3 linked regions of the Tamandua tetradactyla genome follow. The protein of the gene in region 2 interacts with the protein of the main gene of each other region in a pairwise test. Links are inferred from orthologs where the notes say so. Each region holds a gene or a part of one and is shown on either strand. Other genes may lie near its edges. The genes, in order: CNOT11, CNOT1 and CNOT4.

Region 1 (7,121 bases), on a different chromosome or scaffold from region 2:
TTTCTCCATCTCCAAAGGCCTGGGCTGAGCTGCAAGTGCTGAGATGAGGAATGCGGAGCTGCTTAGCAGTGTTAGGTTGCAATCTCTCATTTAAACACCAGCCAATTAAGTCAAACGTCACTCATTGCAGCAGACACGCCTCCTAGCTGACTGCAGATGTAATTGGCAACAGATGAGGTTCATGTACCATTGGCTTATGTCCGCAGCAACAAGACTAGGTATGCTCACCTGGCCAAGTTGACAACTGAATCTAACTAACACAGTCTGTAATAAGTTCTGAAATCAGCAAATGAGTACCTCCAACTTGGTTTTTCTTTCTCAAGATGGTTTTGGTAGTCCAAGCCTCCCTGTCATTCCATTATGAATTTGAGGGTCAGCTTTTCCATTTCTGTAAGAAAGGCTGCTAAAATTTTGATTGCGATTGTACTGAATCTGTAAATTGCTTTGAACAGTATTGACGTCTTAACAATTTAAGTCTTCTAATCCATGGACATAAAATATCTTTCATGTATTTAGGTCTCCTATAATTTATTTCAGCAATGTTTCATAGTTTTCACTGTACAAGTCTTATATACCCATGATTAAATTTATTTCTAGGGTGGGCCACAGTGGCTCAGCAGGCAGAGTTCTTGCCTACCATGCTGGGGACCCAGGTTCAATTCCTGGTGCCTGCCCATGTGAAAAAAAAATTATTCCTAGATACTTTATTATTTTAGCTGCTATTGTAAATGGAATTTTTTTTTGGACTCTTAATTGTTGGCATGTAGAAACACAACTGATTTTTACATATTGCTCTTGTAATCCAACACTTCGCTAACTTCACTTATTAGCTATAGAAGCTTTCTTGTAGATTCTTTTGAATTTTCTATTTATAGGATCATGCCATTTACAAAAAGAGTTTTATTTCTTCCTTTCCAATTTGGATGCTGTTTATTTCTTTTTACCTGCCTCATAGCTGTAGTACAATGTTAAATAGCAGGGGTGAAACCAGGCATCCCTGTCTTGCTTTGATCTCAGGGGAAAAACTTTCAGTCTTTCATCATCAACTTTTTTTTTTTAATTAATTTATTTTTTTGCATGCGCAGGCATCGGGAAGGGAACCTAGGTCTCCGGTGTGGCACGCAAGAACTCTGTCTGATGCACCACCGTGGCCCGCCCTCACCATTAACTTTTAGCTGTGGGTTTTCATATATGCCCCTTATCATGCCTAAGTTCTCTTCAAGAAATGGTGCTGGATTTTGCCAAACACCTTTTCTGTGTCAATTGAAATGCTATTTTTTTTACCTTCATGCTATTAATGTGGTGTTTTGCACTTTCTCATGTTAAAACACCCTTATGCTCCTATAATAGATAAATCATTTGTTCAGGATGTATAATCTCTTTTTTTTTTTTTTCAGGGGCAGGCACCAGGAATCGAACCCCGGTCTCCGGCATGACAGGTGAGAACTCCGCCACTGAGCCACCAGTGCCCGCCCTGTACAATCTTATTAATGTGTTGCTAGATTCAGTTTGCATGTGTTTTGTTGAGGATTTCTGCACCTTTATTTGAGGGATATTGGTTTGTAATTTTCTTTTCTTGTGATGTTTTCATCTGACTTTCTGGTTCCATGCATAACTAGCCCTACCTATAGTGTGGCTTGCCCATTCTCACACTAGTTAAGGGCTGAAAGATGTAGCTGTTTCCCACCTCTAACTATCTGCTTCGTGCACTACAGTTATCATCTAGATCTCCCAGATACCCCTACCACCCATAATCTCCCCTCTCTGCTTTTTTCCTAACATGGATGCAAGTCTTCACCCAAAGTAAGTAAATCCTCGTAAAAAAAAAAAAAAATCTCCAAGTTGAGCTTTAAAAAAACAAACATGCAAAAACCCTTCAGCTAACCCACGGATTCAACAATGCTGTACAAGTATGTATTTTATGTTTACTAGTCACGCATTTTCTAGTCTGCGTTTGAGACCACCTTCCATCCTCTGTCCTTCCCATCTCATGATCCAAGGGCACCTAAGAGACCTAGGAAAACAGCTGAAAAATCCTTAAATATTGCTTAATGTGTATTTCCGCCGACAACTTCGACGAGTTCTTAATACTGACTCCTGTTTACTCATCTGGGACGTAAAACCCCGGTCAGGTCCAAAGCGTCATGAGCTATACCTCCACACACCTCGAACGGGCTTTATTTGAGGCACTAAAAATGTCAAGCCCCACATAGCTGCAGACCTGGTAGCCTGTACTGTTGAGAGGCGTCATTTTTGGTCCCGTGAATTAGTTATTAAGCCAACCCCACCCCGCCCGGACATTAGACCCACAGAGGGCGGGAAGGGGGAGATCAACTTCAGAGGATCATTTTTCAGCAGCGCAGATGGAAAGCTGCCGAATCTGACTCCGCACGGCGCACGCTCGGGTCGCGCCGCCGAGCCCCCCGCGCCCGCCCGGCTCCTACCTGAGAGCGGAGGCCGGTCGGGCTCCTGGCCGCCGCGGGCGGGCGGCGCGGGGTTGAGCAGGTGCGCGAAGCTGGCGGCGAAGGGGTTGGCGGCCAGCGGCTCGGTGCGGTACATCTCCCAGAGCAGGTAGAGCGCCGTGAGGCGCTGCGCCGCGCTGGGCAGCAGGTCCGGCTGCTGCAGCAGCATGACCAGCACCGAGCCCAGGCGGAAGTGGTCGGCCTTGCTGAAGTAGTGGTGGAAGGCGGTGGACAGGCCCTCGAAGGTGCTGCCGCCGCCCGCCTCCTCCGAGATGATGCTCAGCAGGCTCGAGAGCTCCTTCGGGGTCAGGCTCATCCTGTCCGCGGGGCCCCCGGGGCCTCCGCTCCCCGGGCCCGGGCCGCCTGCGCCGCTTCTGCCGCCGCCCGAGCCTCCCAGGCCGCTCCTGGACGCCGACCCCACCGCCTCCCGGGCCCCCCTCTGCTCCGCGGCGCTGAGAAGCCGGCCAGACACCGCGCTCCCCCCGCCACCGGGCATCAACCTCACCCGCCCTCCCTGCTTCCCGGCCGCAGCGGGCCTGGCGCCGGCTCGCTCCGTCCTCGCGGTCGTAAAGCGCGCTGCTGCACGACTGCGTCGTAAACAAGAACGCCGGGGAAATCCCACGCCGCGGAGCAGGGCGGGCAGTGCGGGACGAAACCGAGGCTGGTGGAGCGCGGCCAGACAGTCGGGCGGGAGGCGGGGCCTGCGGGGGCGGGGCCTGCGGGGGCGGGGCCTGCGGGGGCGGGGGTTGGGTCTCGCCCTGCAGTGGAGCCCGGGCTCATCTGGTGCGCGGCTGCGAGCCGAAGCGGGCACTGCCGGCCGCCACGGCGGTTCCTGGCCGGAGAAGGTACGGATAAATATTGGTATGTTGTTTAAGGGAGAACGCGTTTTAGATTCTAAGTAGTTTTCTTAATATAACATCCAAGATTGATGACTGTAAAAACGTTGTCAATGCACATACTTAAGACACCCCCCATTTCTCATAATCGAAGTTAATTTCCAGTCTTATCCTCGTTCTTTGCTGAATGAAAATGTACTGCCCGTGAAATTTTGGACTTTTTTTTTTTTTAAACAGTATTACGGGAAAAGTTTGCAGTAGTTACTCGTTTACGCAATTTGTGGCCGTGCCACTTTCCCCCTAGCCTGCCCTAGGCTGCTGCTTCCGGACAGTGGCTACGCGTGCTAGAGCTCCTGGGGAGGCTTTAGGCACACTCACGCCTGGCCTCACCTCCTGATTCGGGTATTCACAGCAAAAAGAAATCAAAACAACTCCCCCGGCTACTCAAGAGTGCAGTCTGGGCCACGAAGCACTGGCCGGGCCCTTCCCTCCAGGTACAGAAACCAACAGAAAGTTTATTTTACCAAGCAAATTTGGGAAATTCCGTCTGCGCTGCCCAATGTAAGCAGGTCAAGTATTAAAACGTTAAGCATCTCCCTAATTTTAATTCTTAAAGAAAATTTAAGGAAGTGAAATTTCTGGGGCCACAGATGTGCAAATTTGAAGGCTTCTTCAATTTACTGCTAAACTGCCTTCTAAAAAGAGACCTAACAGCAGCAAATATAACCGTGGTCATGCTGGGACTCTTGAGAAAAACAGTTCAGATTAGTTGAAAGTACTCATTTTGTTTTATTTTTAACATAGTAAACTTGATTGTGTTTGTATCATCAGACCTACAAATAAATAGGCTTTACTGTTTTTCCCAAGATTTTTCAAAACGACTGAACATTAATGGTTAAAGCAACCAAACAATTTTCTTTGCATTTTCAAGATTAAGATGATCCAAGAGTTTCCTGCATGTTTCTTGAAACCAACTCTCAGGACCTAAACTTGTTCTAGGTAGTTCTCCACACCCACCTCATGGCTGCCAGCATGTGGGCGTTCATTAACAATTGCTACTGTTTTGGAGCATTTACTATGTGCCAGTGTTGTTCATTACTGAAAGGAAGTAAGCAAAATAGATTAAGCCGCACCCATTGTGCCCAGAGGAGCTTGCTCTGGGGCCCCAGAAGGCCTCTTGGTAACTGAGTGCAGCCTGGGACCCCACTGAAAATCAGCTCAATCTGATCACTGAGTATACCTAGGAACTGAAATAGTACACTGAACCTTTTTAATTCTTTCTCATATGGGTCACAAATTTCCCTCTCTTTTTAGACCGACTGTACAGAACACAATTTAACTTCATCATCATTGTAACTGTATTTTCATAATACGGTAAAGACATCAAGGGCCAAACCAGTATGGAAAACAATTTGTCCTGTGCACAGAGTGGCCTCAGAATGCTGTGCTTTGTGGATTTGATTTCACACAAACCCGGGGTTTTGTGTCTTATGTGTATCACAGCCAGTCTGTGGCACTGGAGTTTCAAAGAGAGAGCTCAGATGGCCTTTCAGCCTAAAAATCTGTCTCTTTTAGTCTAAGGAGTTTAGGGTTTTTTATTGATTCAAACAAGGAGAGATGGAGCTGTTACCATTATTATAACAAGTTTAATCAACTACAGTTTACAAATGTAAAGGAGTGGAGCTAGGCTAGAACTAAACTAGAATAACCATTACAAGAACAAGCCAATGGTTAAAGTTAGGGCTGACTCGGCTTCTTTCATTAACATTAATGGGTTGTCTTTGTGATTATAAGACTCCGAACTTGTAAAACAGAAACAAGTCAATAGTTCTGAGCTGACTCCAGTCCCCTAAAATCAGGGGGTTGCCTTTGTGATGATAAGACTAATAAGGGGTACAAGGTGGGGCCGGTCCTGAAGATTTTACAGTTTGCAATTCAGTGGGTTTCAGTAATGTCAGCTATTTCCTTTTGGCTCTTCTGTAATATACTAGATAATAAGAAAAAATATCGATATAACAATTCAGTAATCATAATCATTTGTTAATTCTTAATTTCTCAGGACAATTCCTAACTCTTGTTCATTTATTCCCCCCAATCTTGAGGACTGTCTGGGCAAGGCTGGGATAAGAGACAGAGGCAGAATTTAAAGATAAGTATGTTTGTAATTATTAGTAGTAATATCATTAGTCCTGCTTGTAATATTGAACAAAACCAAGATACTATTCCTGTGGAAAGCCAGCTAAATGAGTTAAATATGCCAAAGGAGAGGGGTCCAGAGCCTCTTACATAAATTTGACTTTTCAAATGTCCTAACACTTTAACTACATTGTCAGATTTATTCGGTATATAGGTACAGCATTTAGTTTTTATTATACCATGTGTCCCTCCCTGCAAAGCTATCAAAACAACTGGAGCCCTTGGTTTTGTCGTACTGCTTTACTCATTGGAGTTGTTTCACTATTTAAAAGAGATACACTGTTGAGGCTGTCATTTAAAGCTTGTTGAATAAAATTTTTCAGTGCTTCTATCCTAAATATAACATCTTCTATGCCTAATGAAGGCAGAAATACAGTGACCAGGTGATTGTACCAATGAAATACTGACCAGGCTCATGGAACTTTTAGCAGTGGTAGATTTTGCTCCCAGTGGTAAATGTTAGGCCTGGAGAACAGGACCCCTTCCCCCCATGATGTGACCTACCTCTGGCAAACATTTCAAACAGCTCTCGCACCCTAGCCTGCACCTTTTCATGCTCCAGCAACTGCCCTCTTACAATAACCCCCATTACTCAACCTCCACCCACAGGCAGAAGGCGATCACAACCCTGCATGCTTCAGGCACCACTTAAATTTTAACTTTACCAGTGAAGCACTGCCAACTCCTAACTTAACCCCCTAATTCTGAAAACTAGATAATAGAACCTTACCTAACTCTTTCCCCCAACCCCCAGCGTTAAACCTTAAAAACCCTATCCCTTGCCACCTCGAGGTGGCTGCTTCTCTCTTGAAACGCTGCGTCTACCCCCAGGTGGCTCTGTATCTCCCTGATAAAGTCTTTGCCTGAACTCCTTGTCCCGCCTCTTTCCTGGTGAGTTTGCTTTTCAGGAAAGTCTTAGGAATACTCCCTTGACACCAGAGTGGTCCTAGAGTGCAGCTGCCTGTCCAACCCGGGGACAACCGGGGTCATAAATTGGTGCCACGTAACACTGAGTTCTGTTCGGAGCTTCCCAGGAAACATTAGGTCTATTAACCCAGTCTGTCCCAAACCAATCACTTTCCTGTAATATTATAGTTTGGAGACATCGCTCTGGAGGCAGCCATCCCATGTTCCTTGTACTGAGGGGATTATGGTGCTGGGAGGGGGTCCCCATTGTTCCCAGCAGAGAGGGGCTGCTGCCTTACCCTGCCATACCCCGGTGTCAGCCACACCATGCTGCCCCACAGTTGTCACGCCCTCTTCTCTAATAGCTGATGCTTTTGCCTTACCATCTGTTTACGTGTTGAATGGCTCTCTCCGTTTCATTAATATAAGAAAAAGAAGTTCAGTGTCCTGGGATTTTTTAATTAATTGGCCATTTCTTTGAATCTGCATTAGTTGTGTTTGGCATCTAGAATTCCTTTTTGTTCTTGCATCTTTTTAATTACATTTCTAAGTTCTTTCCGTTTAGTTCCCTGGGGGGAAGGAGGTGGGTGTTACCCCCCCAACCGGTAACCCAGAAACACTAGAGGTAGGTAATAGGCTGTGTTAGAAAGAAAGCCATACCTGAAAGAGAATAAACGCTCACCCGATTATGGAGAAGAAAAGAATTTATTCATGATCTTGC
Region 2 (7,955 bases):
ATATTTTTCTGTGGCTTAAAAGTTAGCTTTGTTCTTTCATAAGAGAATATATCAAATTCTCAAGATAACACATTTCAAAATGGCAGATTACTATTTTTGTTAATTCAAGAAACATAAATACTGTACAAAAAAAATCACCATCTTAAAATACATTCAATTAGAATTACTGTGGACCCATTCCCTTCTGTGGTGGCAATGGGTGCCAAAGATTTTTTACCTCATAGAATGATTTAAATAAAGAATCAAGTTCATAAATTTAAGCTCATTAACAAAAAAGCTTCTTGTAACTGAAACAGAATTTAACCAAAAACAGCACACTTGGAAAAGCAACATATAAGGAAATTTTAAGAAGTCTTTCTTTTTTAACAATTTTATTTACACACCATACAATCCACCCAAAGTGTACAAGCAATGGCTCTTAGTATAATCATAGAATTATGCATTCACCAGACATTAGTCTTTAAAGCACTTTTTGAAGAGAGTTTTGTTTTTAACAACTTAACGCAAAGGCAAGAGGATGTCACAGTACAGGTTAGGGAGACCAGGATTTAAACCTCCAGTAGAAATTTAGAGACCAGAAAGAAAAAAAACACTAAACCAGGCATCCATCCAACTGCCTTAGAAACCAAGGAAGAGTATTTCACTTCTGTTACACAATGTCACAAAACCTTGCCTTAAAAACTTCTAAGATCACAGACTTAGATAAGAAAGGCAAATATTTTCAGTTCATAATGTAATGGTCAAGTCTTTGTGCCTTGATTCTAGACTTGAATTTCCACTAAATGACTTGTGACCCTCTCTTGTTGAAATGGGACAAATTTTCCAACTTTCCGAACAAGTTTTATCCACATGCCACCATTTCAAAGTATCATCAATTCATTTTTCCCTTAGACAAGGTAACAATTTGCAGAGTCCTAAAACAAGACTATTTAAACTGTTACCATACACCTTATTAATATCTAAAATGCAGGACTGCCTATCTTTGGAAGAGAAGGAACCTCACACAAATCACTTTCCAACCTAAATACTTAACAAAAACAAATTTGTTCTTAATCTGTTTGACATACTTTCAGAATTTTTACTGCCTTTCTCATCATTTTTTTATCCATGTATCACTATCCCTATCGAACGTCTGAACGAGACGTTCAGAATCTCTTTCAAAAACAAATACTCAAACTCACTCAATTACGACTGTTAAAGAAATCCCCAAGTCGTCACAGACAATTGAATTGTAAGGAAATAGGCAGGGAAATAAAATATTGGTACAGAATGTTCAGGAAGAAAACAGACTTGAATTAAAGTCCTAAGAAATGTGACATCTGACCGAGTGACTTCAGGGGCAATAATTTACTTCTCTGTTAATAAAGTTTACTTTAAACACATTTTCAAACACACATTATCAACCAGTTGCGTGCGTGTTTCAACCAACAAAGCTTACGCCTCGTGGGGGTCACATCTGTTTGAGCACTGGAAAAGGATATTTCCAGTGTGTTCGGCCTTAAGTGACCCCTGCAAGATCTAAAGCAACTGTCTCACCAGCACTGAGGCCTGCAAGTGTTCAGCTCACTAGGGGGGACTCCCCATGGATGAAGACCGCTGCTAAGGGAGACACCGGGCGGGTAGGTGGGGGGTCGACGTCGGACAAAGTCTGACCGCACGGGCGCGCGAGTGGAAGTAAACCTGTGACCAGAAGTAATAAGGAAGTGCTCGCTCCCTCCCGCTCGCCCCTCCCACCTACAGACACCCGAAACATGGGGATTTGACAACGTGCTGGGGGCTAGGGGAAGACCGGCAGCACCCGGTACTTGGACAAGAACTGGGAGTCAGTAACAACTCCAAACACTGTCCCCCCTGCCCATGGAGTTAGGCCTCGGGGGCCAATGCCCACTACACCCATCTGAGAGCCTGGAGAGGAAGAAGCAGTTGCGGAAGGCTGGTGGAGTCCGAGATGGATGCAGCTCGAGCAAAGCGCGGCCCAGGCCGACCGAACAGTTGCCGCCACCGCCGCCCTCAGAACCTCCAGGCCCGGGCCGGGGGACCACTCCGGGTCGCAGCCCGCGCTCTGCCATCCGGTTGCCAGAGCTTTCGGGACGGCCGCTTCTTTTCACTACCTGAAGGTGCCGCGAGCGGTGGAGAGAGCCCGCCCTCCCTCGCCTGGCCAGTTTCCCGTCCCGGCTGCCCCTCGCTCCTCGAAGCTCTGGGAAACGCTTCCAATGGCCCTAGGACCACCCCCTGTGCGTTCACCCAAGCTCTCGCGTTCCGTAGCTGACATGGCCCGCCTATGGCGGCCCCTGACCCAAACCCACCTCACCTTAGGCAGCTCCGGCGGCGCTGGACACAGGAAACTCCTGGGTCCCCCGACTCCGGCTTTCCTCGACCCCTCTTCGGTTAACTCCGCTTGTTTCTCTACAAAATGGCGCCGGAGGTCGCGCGCTCACGTCGCGGCCTTTCCCCTCCCCGTTCCCATTTCACCATTCGTTGCCCGCCCGTGGAGGGATGGCCCGACCACCAGCCAATGATCATACCCAGCCCATAGTGCCCGCCCAATCACCGACAGGTGCCCGCGGATTTAAACCAATCAAGCCCCATCACTTGCAGAAGTCAAGGAAGAAACCAAGCTCCTGCTAGCAACTACCAATCCGGACTCCTACTTCTCGGGTTTTGACCAATTGCCGCTCACCAGTCCCCAGGGACTGGAGTTAGCGTTCTCGCGCCTGCGCGCGAAGCGAGGACCAATGGAGAGATACAAATAACTTCGATTTCAGGGTCCACGGACGTCCCACCTGCCCTCGAGGTCTTCGACCAATGGGACCTTGGCATTGCTTCCGAGAAACAATAAGTAAGGAAAGGTGGTCCACAGCCCCTCGCCACTCTACGCGGTAACAATTTTGAGTTCGGCATTAGACAGCATTCCTCCACTTTCCTTCCTTTTTCGTAGTGTCACAGTCCGGTCGACTACAGGACTTTCAAGCCTAAACATCCTCCTCCGATCCTGTCCCTTTCCTCGCCTTGTGGAGTAAGGCGAGGACCGCCAACAACCGGGAAGCAAGCCAGGTTAGGACTAGTGTGGTGGCGCTGTGCGCCCTGGGATGTGTAGTTTCCTCCGCCCCCCGTTCCTGACGCAAATCTAACGCGTCCACTTTCGTCACTGGCAGCGCCTGGGGAGAAGCAGTGCATACTGGGGAATGTAGTCTTCCAGGACCTTCACCTGGTCATAGGTTGTCCCGCTTCAGTCAAGGGAACTTCTTTCACCTAGATTTAGGGACGCCTTATGGAGAATTAGGAAGCTAAAGTTCTCTTCCTGATTTAAGCCCTAGAACCGCTATCAAAAAGGTCACTTCTATCCTTTTACACTGGGGAAAAAAGTCAAAGGGACAGTTCTTTTTCTACTGGTGATAAAAATTGACAAAATCTGTATAGATAGTATTTTGGCCCAGTTTATCAAACCTAAAAATGCACAGACCCGCTGACCCAGTAATTGATCCCATGTCTAGGGATTTATTCCCCAGTTTTATTCGTGTGCACAAAGATGATTGAAGAATTATTTATAAAGAGCAGAAAGATTGAAAACAATAGGGGAATGGTAAATAAATGTATTGTACTGCCATGTACTGGAACACAATGAAGTTGTTAAAAAGAAAGGTACAGCTATACTCTTTGAGACCAAAAAAATTAGTTTTATTTTGTCCAGAACCTAAGTTTTCTGTAGCACATAATCTAACTCAACCAGTCTGGATAGATCACTTAAACAACCCAAACACAGGAACCTCAGAATGGGAATGAAGGCCTGTAATTCTGTATAGCTTAATATAATGCCCAGATACATCCCAGAGTATATTGAGCGTATATTTAAAAAGTACTGGGAAAGTCCCTTGAGGGATTGGAGAGAAAATATGGAACTATTAAACTTTACCACCAAGGAAAACACTGATACTGTCCCAAACTGTCCCAAGTCAACAGACCAAGCCCTTGAGCTTGAGCCTTGCTCTTGTGAAGCTGATTTATACAGCAGAGAAGGTTAGCCTACCTATAGTTAGTTATACCTAAGAGTTACTTCCAGAGGATCCCTTTTGTTGCTCAGATGTGGCCTCTCTCTTTCTAAGCCCAACTCTGCAAGTGAAATTGTTACCCTCCCCACTATGTGGGATATGACATCCAGGGGTGAAAGTCTCCCTGGCAACGTGGGATATGACTCCCAGGAATAAGTCTAACCCTAGCACTATGGGATCGACAATGCCTTGCTGACCAAAAGGGGGAAAAGAATTGTAACAAATAAGGTATCAGTGGCTGAGAGAGTTCAGATAGAGGCAGAAGGCTACTCTGGAGGCCAAGCTTCAACTAGATATTGCTGTTTATCATGGTTTGCCAAACTCCAATCAAAACCATTTCTGCCAACCCTTAAGAATACCTAGGGATTTATCTGAGATTCTACAAAGGTTCCATGCACTGTGATTACTTTCCAGAAACCTACAACCTCCAGAAGGTTCCTAGGCTGGATAAGTCCTGAAATTCAGAGTGGCCAGCCTCTCCAGTGCATCGACTAGTTCCATTCCCCTATACCATATTATTGACAGCCCTTTCCAACATGAAAAAATTAGAATGGACATAGCCCAAGTACCCCTAAATATTGGGAGAAAGATCAAAGGAGAAGATGAAGTTATAACAGAGTCCAAGATAGGATTTAACAAATGAATATGATTGCTGAATCATTATATTGATATTTCTTTTAGTCTCCAGCATCTTGGAGCAGCCAGAAGGAAACACCTAGAATTGTGGAATTGTAACCCATACTGTGCTGGTTTGAAATGATGTCTGTACCCTAGAAAAGCCATGTTTTAATCCTAATCCCATTTTGTAACAGTAGCCGTTTCTTCTAATTTCTATTCAGTACTGTATGTTTGAAACTGCGATTAGATCATCCCCTGGGGGTGTGATTTAATCAAGAATGGTGGTTAAACTGGATTAGATAGAGGCATGTCTCCACTCATTTGGGTGGGTCTTGATTAGTTTGTGAAGTCCTACAAAAGAGGAAACACTTTGGAGAATGAAAGAGATTCAGAGCGATCAAAGCAGAACAACATAGCCACGAGAAGCAGAGTCCACCAGCCAGCGACCTTTGGAGATGAAGAAGGAAAATGCCTCCTGGGGAGCATTATGAGACAGGAAGCCAGGAGAAGAAGCTAGCAGGTGATGCTGTGTTGGCCATGTGCCCTTCCAGATGAGAGAGAAATCCTCACTGTGTTCACCATGTGCCTTCTCACTTGAGAGAGAGAGACCCTGAATTTCATCAGCCTTCTTGAACCAAGGTATCTTTCCCTGGATGCCTTTGATGGAACATTTCTACAGACTTGCTTTAACTGGGACATTCACTCGGCCTTAGAACTGTAAACTAGCAACTTATTAAATTCCCCTTGTTAAAAGCCATTCCATTTCTGGTATATTGCATTCCGGCAGCTAGCAAACTAGAGCACATACCAAACTCTGAAATCTGTTCTGTTACTAATGTGTGCACTGTGCTTTGAAATTTATGGGTTTTTTGATATATGTTATTTTTCACAATTAAAAAAACATTTTTTAATTAAAAAAAGGTAAACTTATAGCTAGTGATATGGAATGATTACCAAGATTTCTTGTTAAATTTAAAAAGTGAAGATTGGGTGGGAAAGGGAATGGTAATAAAATCAGTGTTACCATTTGTATGGAAGAAAATAACTATATATTCCTGTATTTACATAGAACTAAATATATTAAAAGGTTTAGAAAGCTACATTACCCAACGGATATCCCTTTATCCCTGGGGAAAGGAATGGTAATGAGGAATGGTAAAGGGAATGTTTGCTTTTTATCCTGTGTATTACTGTATTATTTAAACTTTTTACAAAAGAAAGTATTCATGTTGTATTTGTGTAATTTAAAAGAGGTAGAAATTGAGACTGATAGAGGTCAACTAAGATCAACTGTGTAATTCTACAACTCTTTCAGGTCTCAAACCTAGAGCTCCTGAAATAAAGATCGGCTGAGATAAAGTTGAGGTGCCTTTCCCCACTTCAGCCCATCCTTGAGAGGAAAATGATTTGCTATTTTAAATTTAGGCTGCTCCAGACCCTTGAGCCACAGCCAGCCCCTCTCCCAGAGCTGCACAAAGCCACTCTTGGGATTTCACCCTCCACAAGTGCACTGTGTATTCAGTCACAGGACCTACAGAATTCCCCCGATAGGCTGGAGATCAGAGTCCATCAAGTATGTGTCAAGAATTCTGGGTGCCAAATAAAATCAGAAGGAAAGATAGACAATAAAGACTGAGGTGGTATAATCTAGGAATGCCTAGAGTGTATAATGATAGTGACTAAATGTGCAAATTTAAAAATGTTTCTGCATGAGGAAGAACAAAGGAATGTCAGTAATGCAGGGTGTTGAAAATAGATGGTAATTAATATTTGAAAACTTTAACCTATGTGTGAGACAACCAAAAAATGTTTCTTTGGTACAAAATTTATAGTTTGACTCGCGCATTTCCTAATATAACTTATGTGGACAGCTTAATTGAACACCATATTACATGGAACCTTGCGTAGGGCATGAGATTTTGTAGGTTTGTCCAGATTGATGCCCAGATAAATCCCAGAGCGATTCGAACAGTGAATAGGGAAGTATTTGCTGAGTTCCCTAGGGGGAATGGTGAGAAAGGGGGAAAATTCAACTTCCCCCAGTGGAGAATTCTTGATATTCTCACAGGCAGTGGGGACAGCCGAAGCAATAGGACGAGCCTCCAATTTTGAGGTTTGTTCATATGAAACTTAATCCTGCAAAGAATAGGCTAAGCCTACTTAAAATTAGGCCTAAGAGTCACCCCCAGGAGAACCTCTTTTGTTGCTCAGATTTGGCCTCTCTTGGACCGACACAGCAAGCAAACTCACTGCCCCCCCACTATGTGGAACATGACTCCCAGGGGTGTGGACCTTCCTGGCAACGTGGGACAGAAACCCTAGAATGAGCTGAGACTCAGCATCAAGGGATTGAGAAAATCTTCTCTACCAAAAGGAGGAAGAGTGAAATGAGACAAAATAAAGTGTCAGTGGCTGAGAAATTCCAAACAGAGTTGAGAGGTTATCCTGGAGATTATTCTTACACATTAAATAGATATTACCTGTTTAGTTAAGGTGTAACAGAGAGGCTGCCTGAAAATGTAGAGCTGTGTTCCAGTAGCCATGTTTCTTGAAGATGGTTATATAATGATACAGCTTTCACAATGTGACTGTGTGATTGTGAAAACCTTGTGTCTGATGCTCCTTTTATCTACCTTGTCAACAGACAAGTAGAACATATGGAATGAAAATAAATAATAGGGGGAACAAATGTTAAAATAAATTTAGTTTGAAATGCTAGTGGTCAATGAAAGGGAGGGTTAAGAGGTATGGCATATATGAATTTTTTTCTGTTTTCTTTTCATTTCTTTTTCTGAATAGATGCAAATGTTCCAAGAAATGATGATGATGATGAATATGCAACTATGTGATGATATTGTGAATTACTGATTATATATGTAGAATGGAAGGTCAAAAGTTAAGAATGTTTGTGTTTGGTGCTTTTTGGTATTTAAAAACAAAAAGGATGTAATGGAGAGGCTGGAGGGAACTGCCTGAAAATGTGGAGCTGTGCTCTGGTAGCCATGTTTCATGAAGATAATTGTATGATGATATGGCTGTCACAGTGTGATTGTGTGGTTGTGAGAGCCTTGTGACTGATGCTCCTTTTGTCTACCTTATTGATGGACAAGTAAAACATATGGATTAAAAATAAATAAACAATGGGGGAACAAATGTTAAAATAAATTTAATAGATTGAAATACTGGTGATTGGTGAAGGGGAGGGGTAAGGGGGATGGTATGTATGAATTTTTTCTGTCCTCTTTTTATTGCTTTTTCTGAATTGATGCAGATGTTCTGAGAAATGAT
Region 3 (8,039 bases), on a different chromosome or scaffold from region 2:
AAGAAACTATGAAAGTATGAAGTTGTAATATGCAAAATGTTACATCTGAAAACTTAAACCATGCAAAAATATTTTAGAAATCTCAATGCCCTATTTCCTGTCAAAGTTATCACGGAGAACTTTAGAAACAGACACACTAAATAGACACCCTTAAGTCCCCAAAGTTAATTCATTTTGATTCAGAGGGCTACAACTAAAAATTTAACGGTTTCAGGCAATAAGCAAGAATGACAGAAAAGCATGAGAAAAAAATAGTGAGGCAAATATCTTTACGAAAGAAATGATGTATGAAAATCATTTATCCCCCTCTGTCAGACAAACAATCCTCTCCTAGAATCCTTCCACTGCCAAGGATTTCTAAACCTGTGTGTGTCAGGCTTGTTCAAAGTAGAAAGGTTTCTTCATCAACATATTACAAAGAAAAATGAAGTATATATTTTTACTTGGAGCTGAAGATTAACTGTATTATATACGCTACAAATGATTAAACTAAGTGTAAATAATATTTCAAGAAAATTTCAAGTTATAACTTAAGACAAGGTTGTCTATGTAAATTGTTTCCAATTCTCCAAAGAGTAGAGATTTACTTATTTTTCCCAAATCAGGGCTTAAATGGTTAACAGGGAAAAAAGAAGCTTTATAAACAGCTTTTCTAACCTTAGTTTACCATTTGATAAAATAGACCATTCATCACAATCAAGTAAATATAACACCAAATGTTAGATTCCTCAAATTTCACAGATGAAATGTGCAAAAGTGACTAACGGGTAACTGTATTTGTATTTATACTTAAGATATTATTACTTTTGATAGATATATTGCTGCCTGAGATCGATACTATGACTTAAAACATTTTTACATACATCTTAAGAACACAAGGTCTTATTTAGGCTTAAACTTGAGATGACTGTATCTGATCTATATAATCCTCTGTGCTTTTCTGGTAATTATTTCACAGTGGACTGACTGTAGTAAAGGCTCCTTCTTTCCATTATGCCATTAACCAGTCCATTTCAATTTCTGTTTTTGCCAAAACATGGACATCATAAGCAATCTCTCGTTTCTTGTTTTTTGCTTTTCAATGTAGGTAACAATGCCAGTGGGTGTCAAGAAATGCATATTATGTGCACAGCTCTGTCATTTCTTTTACCAGTCCTTTTTTCTATGGATAAAATATGAGGGATTTCATATGCAAAAGAAATACCATTTTTCTTTTGCAAACATACCTAATGGATTTTTAAGAGAAGACAATTTATTCAGATAACTACCACTCTAGATGTGTTAAATGAGAGAACTTTGCAAATACACAAATACTAAGTAAATATGACATTAGAAGAGGAAATTTCCACTCAAACCACAAATAAGATATCAATTAAGCTCAATAATATAACTCACTTGGTCAATAATCAATGCACAATATGGAAGGGATCTGTAACCCACATATAATCAAAAAATCATATTTGCTCGTGAAGTTCACAAATGAATTTTGTTTGTGCACCAGATTTATCTTATGTTGAAATGCTTAGGGTAATATTTGCTGGTATAATCCGAACCCATATTAAGTAGCCTGAGAAAGACAATTCAGGAGAACACTTAGTAAGGGGAAATCGGTTCAAAATGAAAACAAAACAAAAAAAATAGACATCCCAACAGAGTAAGTAATCCACAAACAGATCACTGAAAACAAAACGAAAACGTTCCTCTTCTGGGTAGTCTGAATAAATGATCTTTACTCATGATGTCTCATAGTATCCTACCTCACTTCATTCACTTCCCAACTTCCTTGACTTTTCGAGGGTCAACATGGAGCATCCCTTTTTCTGGAATTATATGTTGAAAGAATCTGTTTAGGAAAGAGGGAAGGGGCGGATAATTCCCACGGCTGAGAAACAGGTGGGTTAGATCGGGCAGCAGTATAATCTAGGTATTTAAGGGGCAGCTTTAAAATGACATGTGGTTAAAGCAAAGATCGGAAGAAGCTCTAATGTGGCATACAGACTACCGGGGCTGAATGCAAGCAGAAAGGGGGAGGAGGGGCAAAGGCTAATTCCAGAGTAGTAGCAGTGGAGGAAAAAAACAAGCAGCAGGACAAGTGGGCAAAGAGCGGTGGGATTAATAAGCAGCAGCAACACCAGTCAGAGTGGAAGTGATGGCTTTGGTCCTGGGAGACCAGAGGCAGTGGGGAAGGACGTCAGAGAAGGGAAAGAGCTGGAGAAACAAGTATTGAGACCTAAGACCTGCCCCAACAAAAATATACAGAAGAGAGCTGAAGAAGCAGCCCCGGCCTCCCAAATGAAGAAATTTTAGAAGGAGAGTTGCTGCTCGCCGCCGCCGTTGCCTTCTGCCCCGCTCCCTTTTCCTGGTGGTAACTGCTGTGGCGTAGAGGAGAGAGGGAGGAGGAGGAGGAGGAAGACCAAGGAGGAGGGTGAAGATGAGGCGGGGGGTGGGGAGAAAGGGGGGTGCGGCCTGCTCAATCCCTGCGAAGCCTCCGCTCTCTCGTAGCCGGTCAGCCCCGGGTTTCCCCTAAACCCAGCCCCGCATAGACTCACCCGCCTGCCTTGCCTCGCTTTTCCCTTAGCCGACTCCTCGCACTGCCTCGTCCACACAAGAGACCACTGAAAGACTGTCGGGGGAAATACTCTTCAGAACCAGGCTTGATTGCTTCAGCGAGTCCGACCTTTACGGCTGAGAGAGAGACTATCAGCTTTCGGTGGGTTCCACAGCCAGACGGGCCACCATCTTACATTAGGGTAAGACTCCTCCGGCCTTTCGTGCGCAGGCGCACGCCGATCAGGCCTGGAGGGGCGGGGGAGGGGCTGGAGGAGCGGCTGGCGACGGAATGGGAGGTTGCTGCGGCCGCTCCCGCAGCACTCTGGGAGTTGTAGTACTCAGAGGGTAACCGCCCAGCTGCAAGCCGGGAGTTGAAGTTCTAACTCCGAGGGCTGACGGGATCGCCCACCTCACGTGGCTGCTAGACTGCTGCCTTTCTTCGTGTTTTGCCCCTGTCTCTATCCGCGTGTTCAGCTCTACTGTCATTTGGGCGGCAGTATCGTTAATCTTTCTCTTTCCTCGCTGTTTGCTGAAATATGGGATACCCAAACTCGAGGCAGGTGTAACCAATTTGAGGGGACCCGAGAACAACTGTCCTCTGCTCCACCTACCACAGATCTGAAGGAGGCGGGATAGAGACAAGTCGTGGGTAGGAGGAGCGCGGGATTTGATCTAGGGTGAGAATTTGATACTGACTTGGCTTCTGTTCTCGGAAAGTGAGCGTTTACTCGTCTCCCCATCTTTGCTCTTTTTGGAGGAACTGTATTCTTTGGCAGTAACCACCCTAAATCCCATCTTCGCCGCAAGTCTCCTGGTAAAAAAATTATCGGAAATTGTCCTGTGCACAGTGTACACAGGATTTAAAGACCCATACACGTATAAGACATGTATTTCTAATGATGTAAATGTGAGAACATTATGCGGAACTCGATGCACATTACTGCAGCTTATTCTCCCCTGCATGGTTTTGTGAGCCAAATTCAAAACAAGCTCCGCACACATCACCATATCCCAAAGAATATAAGAAGGCATCCGCAATCCCTAGGAGTGTCGGGGTATTCTCAATCATAAAAATCAGTCATTTTACTAGTCCCTCCTGTGGCCTCCTAGAACGCCGGTGAAAGTGGCGCTCGAAACAGTCGCTTTTGCTTATTGCGTGTATTCTTCACCCATTCATAGAACAAGTACTCATCGAGCGCCTCTGTGCCCCGCATTATTCTTGAAGGTGGGAATAGACAGTGAGCTAAACAGACGAGATTCCCTTTCCCCATTCTACTGTGTGGGGAGAAAGAAGAGAAGGCAAATCAATTTTTTAAATATATTATTAAAAATGTATGGTATGTCAAAACTAATAAGGAAGAACTTTAAAACAAGGGAGAAGAGTAGGGAAAAGGTTGTAATTTGAGATATGAACCTAACCTGACATTTTTTAAAAATACAAGTTAGTTCTTTATGTTTCAATTTCTTCACCAATAATTACTTGGTGAAAAATTAAGATGTATAATCATAAAATGTATAAACTCACATTTACCATAAATTTGAAATTGTAGAATCGTGAAATGACTACCTAATAAGGAAACTTGGGAAATCATTGGGGTCTACCTTTATGCAGCTTACTGCCTCAACATTCAGTATAGGTGATATGTATTTTTTTAATATGTTTATTTTTCTTGTGTCGATAATCCTTTTTATAGTGTAATAAAAACAAAGTAATAAAAAGAATGAAATTAAAAGAAGAAATGGATCATTTCTATTATTGAAGATTAGAACCATAGCAGTAAAACTGGATGGCATTTTAAGCATCATCTAATCCAATGGTTCGCACCTTATCTTACCAGACTTTTTTTAAATAACAAATATTGTTATACTGTCCTTTGTTATCCTAAGATGAAATATATACGTAATATAGCCTCCGTCCACAATACATGATTTTCAATATATATAGTTAAGCTCAGACATGACAATGTTAGAAAATAACAAAATCATCATTTGCTTGCACTTATAAATAAAATTCCAATGAAAGTGACAGCTACAAATACTGACACAAGTACAGTATTTGGCCATCTCTGGTGGACACTAGTCTTTCTTCACTGTTCATAGTAGATGCATTCCCTGAACTATGTTTTAAAAACTTTGTGTTCATATGTAAAATAAAGATTTTTTTTTTAATATGTTTTAGGTTAAGATCATTTTAAACAGGTTTTTCATCTAGAGCAGGACATTTGAAAGTCATGAGGGACATGAAACACTTCATTGTGAGAAATAGTCCCTGCATTGCACCAAGTCTAGCATACCTGGCCTCTGCACTCTAGAGGCCGGTAGGGCCTCCCCCAAGTATCCAACACTTGGGGACAATACCACACCTATTGAGACTCATTAAGTGATAGAGACCTATGAGTAAGGAAATGGTATTTCCTAGGTTGCCAACTAGTTAGTGACTTTGTCACCACCCTCTCAAGCCAATGCTTTTTTTACTACATTATATTACCAATTCCTCATGTATATATATGTGTCTAATTTCATATAGACTTGTCCATGCAACACTTAATTCTCATAATTTTTTTACACCAGTTTTAATGAGAATAAAACAGCACATTTATTAGTGGCTTACATATCTGCCTTGACAGCAAAAGTGATTGTAACTTGCATAAATAATACACTCAAAAACATTCCATACTCCTCAACTGGTGGTTAGAGCAGCACAATTAATGAAAGAACAAAAAAGTGACTATTGTCGTTAGTAGGCATCAAAAATAAGTTTTGACAAAGAAGATGAGAGGAGCATTCTTGAACTCCTGGATGCCAGGAAGCAGAGTTTTTCAGAATCAAAATAGGAAAAAACCCTAATTAAGAGCTTGTTCTAGTTTGCTAGCTGCTGGAATGCAATATACCAGAAATAGAATGGCTTTTAAAAAGGGGAGTTTAATAAGTTGCTAGTTTACAGTTCTAAGGCTAAGAAAATGTCCCAATTAAAACAAGTCTATAGAAATGTTCAATCAAAGGCATCCATCCAGGGAAAGATGCCTTGGTTCAAGAAGACCGATGAAGTTCAGGGTTTCTCTCTCAAGTGAGAAGGCACATGGCAAACACAGAGTTTCTCTCTCATCTGGAAGGGCAAATGGTGAACACGGTCAGGGTTCCTCTCTCATCTGGAAGGGCACATGGCGAATACGGCATCATCTGCTAGCTTCTTCTCCTGGCTTCCTGTTTCATGAAGCCCCCGGGGAGGCATGTTCCTTCTTCATCTCCAAAGGTCACTGGCTTGTGGGCTCTCTGCTTCTTGTGGCTGTGTCATTCTGCTCTGCTCTCTCTGAATCTCCCATTCTCCAAAATGTTTCTTCTTTTATAGGACTTCAGAAACTAATCAAGGCCCACGTGAATGGGTGGAGACATGTCGTCACCTTATCCAGTTTAACAACCACTCTCCATTATATCACATCTCCAAGGAGAAGATCTAATTACAGTTTCAAACATACAATGCTGAATAGAGATTAGAAGAAACAGCTGCATTTACACAATGGATTAGGATTAAAACATGGCTTTTCTAGGGTACATACATCATTTCAAACCAGCACAGAGCTCAAGGTCCCAACCCTCAGTGTCACAGAGTTGGTTCTGCTGCTTTTAATGAATTCATTATTTTAACACATCAAATAACCTGACTTTTCTTTACCCAAAATTAAAACCGAGGACATCAATACATTATAATACTCTTCAGAAATGCAAACACCCTGAAATAGATCATTATCACACTCTTCACAGGGACTTGCTATTTAGGTACAGTTAGTAGAATTTCATATTTGAAGTGTTTTCATAAAATTACAAGTGTCACAATCTTACAAGTTCTGTTTCCTCCTATGCTGTTCACCAAAGCACTCTATTGTTAAGAGTCTTCTTCATTGCTCGAACATAGAAACTGCTTAGTAAAATTCTTCAGCTCATTTTCAAATTGAACAGCCTTATTTCTTAAGAGTTTTGAAGGATTTTGTATCTTCTCCAACTGATCTATTTCTTTGGATAATCTAGCATTTTTTTCTTTCAGGTGTCTGAGTAATATCAACTTGTTGGCACAGGTGCACAAAAGTGGTAGCCTTCTGTTGTACTTGATGACTGCAGTTTGCACTTGTGAAGCTAACAATCATCTGCAGTTTTGGTTGCACCGTTCACAAACTGCTGTTTAAAGACTCTCTCCTTGGGGCGAGTGGTCCAGGACAGTCTTTCATAAAGCACAAAGCTCCATACATACTTAAAGAAGCAGATATGAGTTTCCAGCCTACCTTTTCCAGATCACTCCTCCAACAACAATGATGCCTATAGAGGTTCTACATGTAAGAGAAGCTAATCCTGTTATTAAGGTAACCATAAGTTCTTCCTGTGATGCATTATCTGGCATTGCTGGACTGGTAGAAGCAGTGAGAGTAGAAGCTAAAGATCTAGGCAGCTGAAAGATATGTTCTGGTAATCCAAGGAGCAACCTCTGAGCATTATTAGGGACCAAGAAACGATGTTCCAGGGAAGACCAGCCCAGGGAAAAATGGAATACAATATCCTCTTGAAAATCAGAGCATAATTTGTGGCAATTTAGGTCATAGCTAAGATCAATTTTTTTGCACGAGATCAATGTGTATAGTTTACTCTCTATACCAGCTAGAAGTAATGGCTTCAAATTTTCAATCATTTCTTCCTGGGACTGAACCATGGAGGCACTGACGTCACTGGTGCACCGATCGGCCAAATTCCTTCCTATACCAGCTTCTTTGTGCTTATTTAGCTCATTCTTATACGCTTTCAATAACTTGGAGTAGGATGAAACTCAGAACAAAATTCATCAAAAAATATGGAACGCTTCACGAATTTGTGTGTCATTCCTGCACAGGGGCCATGCTGATCTTCTCTGTATTGTTCCAATTTTAGTATATGTGCCGCTAAAGCAAGCACTAATTCTCATATAATTTTAAATGCTAATCAACATTAAATTCTGTTACCTAGCTTGCCTCATGAGTCCTCAGTGTGGAGGAATCTGTTTATTTTATATATGTTTTTACCTCCTTCTCTGTGTTAGGTATTATGCTAGGTGCTGGTGGAATAGAAGTACAGTGAGCAATAAAACATTTTCCTTGTTCTCATAGAGCATAGTGCCTAGTAGAGGCAGCAGATTAAATAATCATACATATAAGTAAATATAAATATATAAACATAAATATAATCCCTTAAATTTAATTATGACTGGTGATGAATACTATGGAAAGTGTTTACAAGATGTTTTGAGAGAGTATGAGAGGGGGTACTAATTTAGATTGGTGAGGGAGAGGAGAGTAGTCAGCGAAGATCTTCACCAGGTTAAAAGGGATAGGGTGAACACTGTTGCAGCCTTGACACCAACTGCAGTGATAAAGACTGTATTTCTCCCTATTAATTCCCACTTCTAAGTTTACCTTCAGAGAGAGAGGCCCACAGGGAATATAGAGGAGTTGTTCCCTGAACATCCC

The links.
Region 1: the proteins of CNOT1 (region 2) and CNOT11 interact in binary tests that used the Homo sapiens proteins (3 or more experiments, as listed by UniProt). The link is inferred for Tamandua tetradactyla from reciprocal best matches to the Homo sapiens genes CNOT1 and CNOT11.
Region 3: the proteins of CNOT1 (region 2) and CNOT4 interact in a two-hybrid assay, tested with the Homo sapiens proteins (3 studies listed by BioGRID and IntAct, with this or other methods). The link is inferred for Tamandua tetradactyla from reciprocal best matches to the Homo sapiens genes CNOT1 and CNOT4.

Annotation. Positions count from the first base shown.
Region 1 is NC_135343.1:6,824,554-6,831,674, reverse strand, and holds the start of CNOT11 (CCR4-NOT transcription complex subunit 11), read right to left. Parts: upstream 3,047-7,121; 5' UTR 2,959-3,046; coding exon 2,445-2,958; intron 1-2,444. UniProt on the Homo sapiens protein: Component of the CCR4-NOT complex which is one of the major cellular mRNA deadenylases and is linked to various cellular processes including bulk mRNA degradation, miRNA-mediated repression, translational repression during translational initiation and general transcription regulation.
Region 2 is NC_135342.1:52,306,364-52,314,318, forward strand, and holds the start of CNOT1 (CCR4-NOT transcription complex subunit 1), read right to left. Parts: upstream 3,097-7,955; 5' UTR 2,784-3,096; exon of another isoform or gene 2,674-2,783; intron 2,407-2,673; exon of another isoform or gene 2,312-2,406; intron 1-2,311.
Region 3 is NC_135327.1:178,202,510-178,210,548, forward strand, and holds the start of CNOT4 (CCR4-NOT transcription complex subunit 4), read right to left. Parts: upstream 3,004-8,039; 5' UTR 2,550-3,003; intron 1,844-2,549; exon of another isoform or gene 1,821-1,843; 5' UTR 1,758-1,820; intron 1-1,757. UniProt on the Homo sapiens protein: Has E3 ubiquitin ligase activity, promoting ubiquitination and degradation of target proteins. Involved in activation of the JAK/STAT pathway. Catalyzes ubiquitination of methylated RBM15.